2 linked regions of the Sus scrofa genome follow. The main gene of each other region encodes a partner of the protein of the gene in region 2 in a complex. Links are inferred from orthologs where the notes say so. Each region holds a gene or a part of one and is shown on either strand. Other genes may lie near its edges. The genes, in order: FETUB and MEP1A.

Region 1 (4,346 bases), on a different chromosome or scaffold from region 2:
CTCCAATTGGACTCCTAGCCTGGGAACCTCCATATGCCAAGGTTGCAGCCCTAAAAATACCAAAACAAACAAACAAACAAAAAAACCCAAAACCTAGATGAGGCTAAATAGAACACTTTTTTTTTGTTTTGTTTTACTTTCTAAAATTTATTTTTTTGAAGCAGTATAATTGATTTACAATGTTGTGTTAGTTTCTGGTATACAGCAATGTAATTCAGTTACACTTATATATGCATAGTCATTTTCAGATTCTCTTCCATTACAGAGTTATTACAGAATATTGAATATAGTTCTCTGTGCTATACAGTAGGACTTTGTTGGTATCTAGTTTATATATAGTAGTTTGTATCTGCTAATCCCAAACTCCTAACTTATCCCTCTCTGCTCCCTTTCCCATTTGGTAACCATAAGTTTGCTTTCTATGTCTATGAGTCTATTTCTAATTCATAAATAAGTTTGTGCCACATTTTAGATTACACACATAAGTGATATCATATGATGTTTGTCTTTTTCCGATTTACTTCACTTAGTATAATAATCTCTAGGTCTATCTATGTTGCTGCGAATGACAATATTTCATTCTTTTTTATGGCTGAGTGATAGTCCAGTGTGTGTGTGTGTGTGTGTGTGTGTGTGTGTGTGTGTGTGTAGAATAGAATATATAGATTATATATCTTTTTTATCCATTCATTTGTCTATGGACATTTAGGTGCTTCCATATCTTGGCTGTTGTAAATAGTGCTTCAGTGAACATTGGATACATGTATCTTTTCAAATTAGAGTTTTCTCCAGATATATGCCCAGGAGTAGGATTGCTGGATCATATGGCAAGTCAATTTTTAGTTTTTTAAGGACCTTCCATGCTATTTTCCATAGAGGCCGCACCAATTTACATTCTCACCAAGAGTGTAAGAGGATTCCCTCCACACCCTCTCCAGCATTGGTTATTTGTAGACTTTTAGATGATGGCTGTTCTGACCAGTGGGAGGTAATACTTCAATATAGCATTGACGTGCATTTCTCTAATAATTAGCAATGTTGAGCATCTTTTCATGTGACTGCTGGCCCTCTGTATGCTAAATGGAACTCTTTCCAGCCAGATCCCAGAGTGCTTTAGGAATCTCACTGAGGCTTCATGTAGATGATGTGGGGTTGAAGCCTTTTTCCTGATCTAACAAGAATGGTGAACCCAGGAGGTCGGGCGGGAGGTCAGAACTCACTGAGCACCATTGGTACCATGACTTTGGGCTCCGAGTCTGAGATGAAGAGAAGTGTAGCCAGGACATGGGCTGGAGGCGAGATTCTAGTGCCCAAGGGAGAACGTGACAGTCGTCATCTTCTGAACCGGCTTGAGCCCTGCACACAAGCAAGAATTCAATCGTGACCTCCCAGGAACCTTGACCTAAGAGTTTATTTTGCTTTCCTAGGAAAAGATTAGGAAACTTAAATCTGTTTACAGGTAACCATGAGTATCAGATTGCTCCGGGGTCCAAGGTTAGATATATTGGCAAATCCTATCCTAAGTCCTGACTCAGGGAAATCTACATTTAGAATTCAAGCAGATAAAATAGGGCCCTGTGTTTCAAATCCTGATCCCTGGTTCAGGTTGCAATTACAAGGCTGCTTAAATTGCTCTTGCAGAGCCCTGTAAGTAGCTGTCCTTGTGGCTCCTCATACTGACCCCTGCCTGGCCTCACTCCCCACAGGATGGGTCTGCTCCTCCCGCTGGTGCTCTGCGCCCTGGCCGTGGGCTGCGGGGCTACATCTCCACCCCAGCCGCTGCCCCCTACATCCTCGCTTCTCCTCTCCCATGCCTGCAACAGCTCTTATGTGCTGGATGTTGTGAACCTCGTCCTGCAGGAGATCAACAGGAACCAGAAGGACGGCTACGTGCTGAGCCCCAACCGAGTGAGCGATGTCCGCGAACACAGACAGGCAAGTGGCAGTCCCCTCCAGGGCAGGTGTTTGCACAAGCCAGGGAGGCTGCCAAGGGGACAGGAACCCAGAGACACATGTTGGCAGGTACCTTTCAAATCGGAAAACCTGCTGAGTACACACCAAGCTCCTCTGCTAGAGTGCTACATGTTCTTAATGCTATTAGGAACAAGTACTAATCTACTCTGAAACGTACTGTGTCCCACCGTTTCTATTTTCACAGAGTTCCCTGGTTGCCTAGTGGTTAAAGATCTGTCGCTGTCACTGCTGTGGCGCGGGTTCAATCCCTGGCCCAGGAACTTCTGCATGCAATAGGAACAACCAAAAAAAAGAAAAAAAGAAAAAAAGGAAGAAAGATAGAAATCTTCACAAACATTATAGCCTTTGTTTAGCTTTGCCATAAAACAGGGATTTGGGGGGCCAGGCTTTAGGGGTTTCTGCTTCATGTAGGTTGTGCATTTTCTCCTCACCTTCCTACAGGGTGACCTGGGATCTCTGTTCTATCTCACGCTGGACGTGATAGAGTCTAGCTGCCATGTGCTCAGTAAGATGTCATGGAAGGACTGTGGGCTGACGCCATTCCATGAATCGGTAAGTGCTTGTGTCCAGGTGCTTGAGCAGGAAAACTAGGTGACCTCTGTCTTCAGAATGAAGATTGTTCAGCATGTACCATCTTTAAATGTCCCACTTTATAATCTCTTGAGGAGGGTGCCTATGTAGTTATTCCAATTCTATAGACAAAATAGAGTTTCATCAGAGGGATTTCTGAGAGTTCAATTTCTGGTGTCTGGGTCATGAGAAATTGCCCCCAGATGCAAACCACTGCCTTTAGAATGAACAAGCAATGAGGTCCTGCTGTATAGCACAGGGAACTGTATCTAATCACTTGCGATGGAACATGATGGAGGATAATGTGAAAAAAAGAATGTATATGTATGTGTATAATTGAGTCACTTTGCTGTGCAGCAGAAATTGACAGAACATTGTAAATCAACTATAATAATTTTTTTAAAAAAAGAAAGAAAGAAATAAGAAAAGAAAGGAAAGTTGTCCCCAAGTTGTTTCCCACCTCTTGTAGGACCCTCCTATAGGCTCTGAGCCAATGTTTAAGTTGCGGGAGAAAAAAAAGAAGATGTCTGAGGTGTAGCTCTCTGGATGTGTATCCAAGGAAAACTGTAGAAGCAGTGGAGGGGCAACTCTGAAATTTGTTTTATTTTGCTTTATTTTGTTTTAATTGACACTGATACAAGATTTGAGGCTGGAGAGAGGGAAAGCTATGGTATGAGAGCTCTTAGAGGTACCATGGATAAAGGACTTTCTGGAATCACAGCACCTAAAATGAGTCAAAATTGATGACCAGAGAAGACGCTTGAAAAGAACACAGTTTTCATCTGGTTCTCAATTATCCTGAGATTATTTTTATTAATGGATATGAAACTTTGTGTATACAGGATTGTGGTATACGTCTTTAGAAATGAACTCTTTGACCAAGATATCTTTCTCTAATCACTTAACCAAATGTGTCAAACTCACCTACCTGGTTTTGAAAAGCAAATCATCTATTTACCCTGGGAATTATGTTTAAGGAGACACTAACTGCTATAACATATACACTAAAAAGTGTATACTGATCGCAACATGATAGAAGTTGATTTTCCCATTTATGCAAAGTTCAAATAGAAAGCTGGAGTTCCTGTCATGGCTCAGCAGAAACGAATCTGATTAGCATCCATGAAGACAAAGGTTCAATCCCTGGGTTCGCTCAGTGGGTTAAGGCTCCGGCATTCCCATGAACTGTGGTGTAGGTCACAGGTGCAGCTCAGATCTGGCTTTGCTGTGGCTGTGGATGTGGCGGGCAGCTGCAGCTCTGATTGGACCCCTAGCCTGGGAACCTCCATATGCCAGGGGTGTGGCCCTAAAAAGACCAGAAAAAAATATAGAAACTCCTCATCAGTGAGGGGCTCTCCTCCACGAGTGATTTGTCAACCCAGGTTCCCTCCATGCTGTGGCCTTGGACTCTGCTGCCCTCAACTCATGGTTCTGTGGTCACCATGCTCATCTACATCAACCTACAGAAAGGGAAAGAGCCTGGAGGACAGAGAGCACATGGGAGAGCCTTATGGGCTAGGCTTAGAAGTGGTTACCCATCCGTTCTGCTCACCTCACTGTGGTTAGAACTCAGTTACACACAGTCCTATCTAAGTAGGAAGGAGGCAGGGAAGTAGTGTAGCTGCAGCCCAAGAGAAGGTTGAACTCTTTGATGATCAGCTGGCAGGTTTCCCCACCCTAAACCACCAAAATTGACCTTAGGTTTCTCATTACTTAAAAATGAAATATCCAATTTCATCTGGGGTATTTTTTAAAGCCATAATTCATTTTACCATGTCGTAAAATGTATTTGTTGATTCCAG
Region 2 (4,475 bases):
AGTTGTATCTGCTGAAGACCTATGCTCCCACCCGGAGGTTCTGCTGAGCGAAGAGGGTGCTGAACTATCTTCTTACTGCCTGTCTTTTGCCAAGAGGCTGTAAATGTGGACAGAAGGAGCTACAGTTTACCAAGTGCCTCTTATAACCTGTGATTTACATAGGTTGTCTCATTGAATCCCCAGAAAGTAGGTACCGCTCTCCATTTTCCACCTGGAAAGCATATTCTCAAAATGTCACACCTGGTCAGTGGTAGCTGTGAAACTCAATTTTCTATCCACCTGATTCCAAAGTCCCCATTAGAGTATATTGTGCAGGTAAGTCTAAGAAGGAAGGGAAAGATAAAAGCACATCTGGCTGGAAGCAAGGTTATGTCTATTGACAGATGAATGGATAAAGAAGATGTGAGATAAATACACACACACACACACACACAATGGAATATTAGCCATAAAAAAGAATGAAATAATGACATTTGCAACATGGTTGGACCCAGAGATTATCATACTAAGTGAAGTAAGTCAGGATGAGAAAGACAAATATCATATGATATCACTTAGATGTGGAATCTAAAAAAAAAAAAATACAAATGAACTTACTCATAAAAACAGACTCATAGACATAAGAAAACAAATTTATGGTTACCAAAGGGGAAAAATTAGGGAGGGACAAATTAGGAGTTTGAGATTAACATATACACACTACTATATATAAAGTAGATAGGAGTTCCCATCGTGGCGCAGTGGTTAACGAATCCGACTAGGAACCATGAGGTTGCGGGTTCGGTCCCTCCCCTTGCTCAGTGGGTTAACGATCTGGCATTGCCGTGAGCTTTGGTGTAGATTGCAGACGCGGCTCAGATCCCGAGTTGCTGTGGCTCTGGCGTAGGCCGGTGGCTACAGCTCCGATTGGACCTCTAGCCTGGGAACCTCCATATGCCGCAGGAGCGGCCCAAGAAATAGCAAAAAGACAAAAAAAAAAAAAAAAAAAAGACAAAAAGTAGATAATCAGCAAGGACCTACTGCATAGCACAGGGAACTATACTTAAATATTTTGTAATAACTTACCAGGGAAAAGAATTTGAAAGAGAATATATGTCTATATGTGTGTGTGTGTGTGTGTGTGTGTGTGTGTGTGTGTGTACCTATAACTGAATCACTATGACATGTTATGATATTGTAAATTAACTATCCTTCAATTAAAATTTAAAAAAAGATTTTATGGCAATAATATTGAATTTATAGATAAAATGATGACCATCTCTATTATATTGAGTCTTCCCACTCATGAATATTTCATATATAAATATATGTGTATACGTGTGTGTTTAGATAGCTCTTTCTAAGGTTCTTCAATCATTACCTTATAACATTTACGTACAATTCATTCATTTTTATTAGAGTTAAGCACTTCATAATAATTATAGATTATTTTTATTTCTATTGTGCAATGGATATTTTATCTGTTATATGAAGTTATTGCTTGTATACAAAAATGTTATTTATTTTTATATGCTCATATCAGTATCAACTTTTTCAGACTTTTCCCTGGTCTCTGGCACTTGAGCTTTTCTGCTAAAATTAATATCTGCCCTCAAATGGGGCAAAGACATTTTCTTTGACGACTTCAATGCTACAGAACATGTGTAAGGGTCAAAGTTTCTAATATGACAGCCAGAGCAAAGTCCAAGTATTTATCACAAGGTGTCTTTGCTAAAATCTGTTCACTTGCAGCAATGATTTGGACAAGATCTCCTTGCATTCTCTCTTTCATCTTGTTTTTTGCCCATATAGCTGCTGTATCGGTAAGTAGAGTTCTGCTTCTCAACTTACTTAGAAACACTAATTCTAGTATACATTATCCATTTTCTGTATATTTATTTCCTTTCAGATTAAACATCTTTCCAAAGGAAATGGTAAGAATTAAGTAAAATGCATAATGTGTTTCTGAGCTTTTTCTGTTTCATTCAGCAATACGTATAACAATTTCCCCCCCACTTTTAACAGTACATGATGGAGATTTTGATGAACAGAAGGATATTACAGAGATCAACTTAGGTGGGTGCCATTTCTGTCATTATTGATGCCTTTAAATAATTTAAAACCCTATGATAGAACTGCTAAAAAGCGCTTATGTTCATGATACAGTATTGGGTAACTTTAGGGGAAAACCATGATCGGAATTTGCAGAATTTCTAAAAAATGGAAATGTGGAAAGAGAAAAATGATTACACCAAAATTTCTAGAACTAGTGAGTGCTCAGTGGATCTAGAAATATAGAATAAGATTTTCGCTTATAAGACATTCATTTTTCCAGTTTTCAATTTGAGAAAAAGAAGGCAAAAATGGATGATTATTTTTCTTGCTAAAGAAAAATATAAGGAATATATCTTTGCTTAGGTTTAATGGGAAGAAAACCCTTGTCCCTCCAGAGTCCCTCTCCTGGCCCATCATATGAACAACATCAAACTAGCAACTATTTGCCTAGGACTCAGAAAAGAGTGTAAAGTGTCTCCGTTTCAACATCTTGACCACACACATATGCCATGAAGACATCCGTCAGTCTCACCCATCACTGAGAGAAGAAGATGCCATGTAATCCTCTCTCTTTGCCCTCTCTTGTCCTGCTTCTAATGTGAGGAAGAAACCTTGAGATTCTGGGAATCTTTGGTTAAGATTGGTGGGAAATAGAGGTTCTGGATTTGTGATCATAAATATCTTCTAGAACATAAAAACCTTCATATTCAATTGCATATTTATTTGTCAAATATTGTAGTGGGGTGAGTGCAGGTTTCACTTTGCAGGAAAGAAACAGGAGGCTCCTCTGGGTCAAGGTAAGTCACCCAAGTTCACGGATGGCAGTGATGGAGCTCACCATCAGGTCTTCTGACCCATAGCTCCATAACTCAGTCCTATTTGAAGACTATAAAACTAAAACGCCCCATACCTTAAGGTAAAATTTCTCTGGATTTATCCCACTTACAGAGAAACCAAGTTAGGTGATATTTTGTTGGCAAACCTTGAGAATGACTAGAGGGGCAAGTAGAAATAGTTTGAGAGGGTAAATGGGTCTCAAGATTTCAGAACCAGACATCAAATCATCTTTCTTTAGAGTCAGGCTGTCAAGGTATGTGTAAATAAGAGGGTCTGCTATACTTTAATGGTCCTCAGGTAGGAAAGCCTTAATGCCTTAAGCAATACTTCTCAAACTTTATTTATTTATTTATTTTTGCCTTTTCTAGTGCTGCTCCCAGCTCCTGCGGCACATGGAGGTTCCCAGGCTAGGGGTAAACTCGGAGCTATAGCCACTGGTCTACGCCAGAGCCACAGCAACATGGGATCCGAGCCACATCTGCAACCTACACCACAGCTCATGGCAATGCCAGATCCTTAACCCACTGAGCAAGGTCGGAGATCAAACCTGCAACCTCATGGTTCCTGGTTGGATTCGTTAACCACTGCACCACAACGGGGAACTCCAATACTTCTCAAATTTTAGCATCAGAATCCCTTGGAGGGCCTAATGAACACAGATCAGATTATTTCCCATATTAGGGCTGCTCTAAAGCAGGACCTTCCTATTTGCTGTTGCCTCTCTTCATGCTCCACTCCACTAGATTTCTGCTTAAAAGCCACCTCCTCAAGAAGGTTTTCCCTGACTACCTTTTACCAGTATCAACCTTCCTTCAGCTCAACACTCTTTACCCCCTTTGCTCTGTTTTATGTTTTTTTTTCCCCTAAATTGTATTTTTCACCATCTGCCATACTTGACATTTATTTGTTTGTTTGTATCCCCTCCTTCCCCAATCAAGAATGTCATCTCCCCTAGGGCTTTATTTTCTTTTCTGTTGTGCCCTCAACATCTAGAACAATGCCTAGGACACATTAGCCACCTAATAAGTAAATGCTACATGAATGAATTGGGTAGTGAATAAGCTGAGGCTTGCTTTTAATGGATTTGCACTTTGTGAAATTCTCCTATGGCACTCTCTCCTTTGTAACCCCATCCTGCTGACAGACCCATGGGGTCAAGGTCCCACTGAGCTTGTTCACATCCTCCCTGGAAGAGCCCTTCCCTCACCCCCATTCCTAAGCCAGGTCAAATGTCAGGAAATGTGTAATTTTGCTCTCACACCAAGCCTAGGTAAGAGTATGGAAGGACAAGCCCATCATAGCCCTACTGAAAAGGCAATTCAAAACCTGGGTCCTGCTGCCTCTGGGGCAGTAGTGTCATTGCTATTTGTTGTTATTTAACTGTGCTGTTATAGGAATAGGCTATGGTCCTTAGGTTAAGAAAGTCTAGGAAATATGTGTATGAGGAAAGGGGTGATGCAGGAATCTCTTGAGTTAGACATTAGCAAGTGAAGCCAGGAAGCCTTCTACCACCTCCATGGTGTCATTGCAGAGCCTGAACCCAGATCTTGAATGAGCCATAGGCTTTGCCCAGTGAGACCACTGCTTCCATGTAAGGTTGTGGT

Evidence for each region.
Region 1: the proteins of MEP1A (region 2) and FETUB are in contact, whole or in part, in a cryo-EM structure (PDB 7UAI), measured with the Homo sapiens proteins. The link is inferred for Sus scrofa from reciprocal best matches to the Homo sapiens genes MEP1A and FETUB. Residues at the interface, in NP_005579.2 of Homo sapiens: Asp126, Gly127, Cys128, Trp129, Ser130, Glu131, Val132, Gln145, Gly146, Cys147, Tyr149, Ile152, His155, Glu156, His159, Tyr164, His165, Gln167, Ser168, Leu184, Gly186, Tyr187, His189, Asn190, Asp192, Tyr194, Tyr214, Gln215, Phe217, Ser218; in NP_001362516.1 of Homo sapiens: Phe109, Phe110, Lys144, Lys145, Tyr148, Met149, Thr150, Cys151, Pro152, Asp153, Cys154, Pro155, Ser156, Ser157, Ile158, Ser196, Ser197, Gln198, Trp199, Val200, Val201, Gly202, Tyr205, Phe206, Thr242, His245, Trp246, Phe249, Val250, Ser251.

The regions. Positions count from the first base shown.
Region 1 is NC_010455.5:124,478,931-124,483,276, forward strand, and holds the start of FETUB (fetuin-B), read left to right. Parts: upstream 1-1,525; 5' UTR 1,526-1,707; coding exon 1,708-1,935; intron 1,936-2,415; coding exon 2,416-2,526; intron 2,527-4,346. UniProt on the Homo sapiens protein: Protease inhibitor required for egg fertilization.
Region 2 is NC_010449.5:41,586,028-41,590,502, forward strand, and holds the start of MEP1A (meprin A subunit alpha), read left to right. Parts: upstream 1-1,671; 5' UTR 1,672-1,733; coding exon 1,734-1,802; intron 1,803-1,888; coding exon 1,889-1,913; intron 1,914-2,004; coding exon 2,005-2,055; intron 2,056-2,429; exon of another isoform or gene 2,430-2,585; coding exon of another isoform or gene 2,586-2,592; intron 2,593-4,475.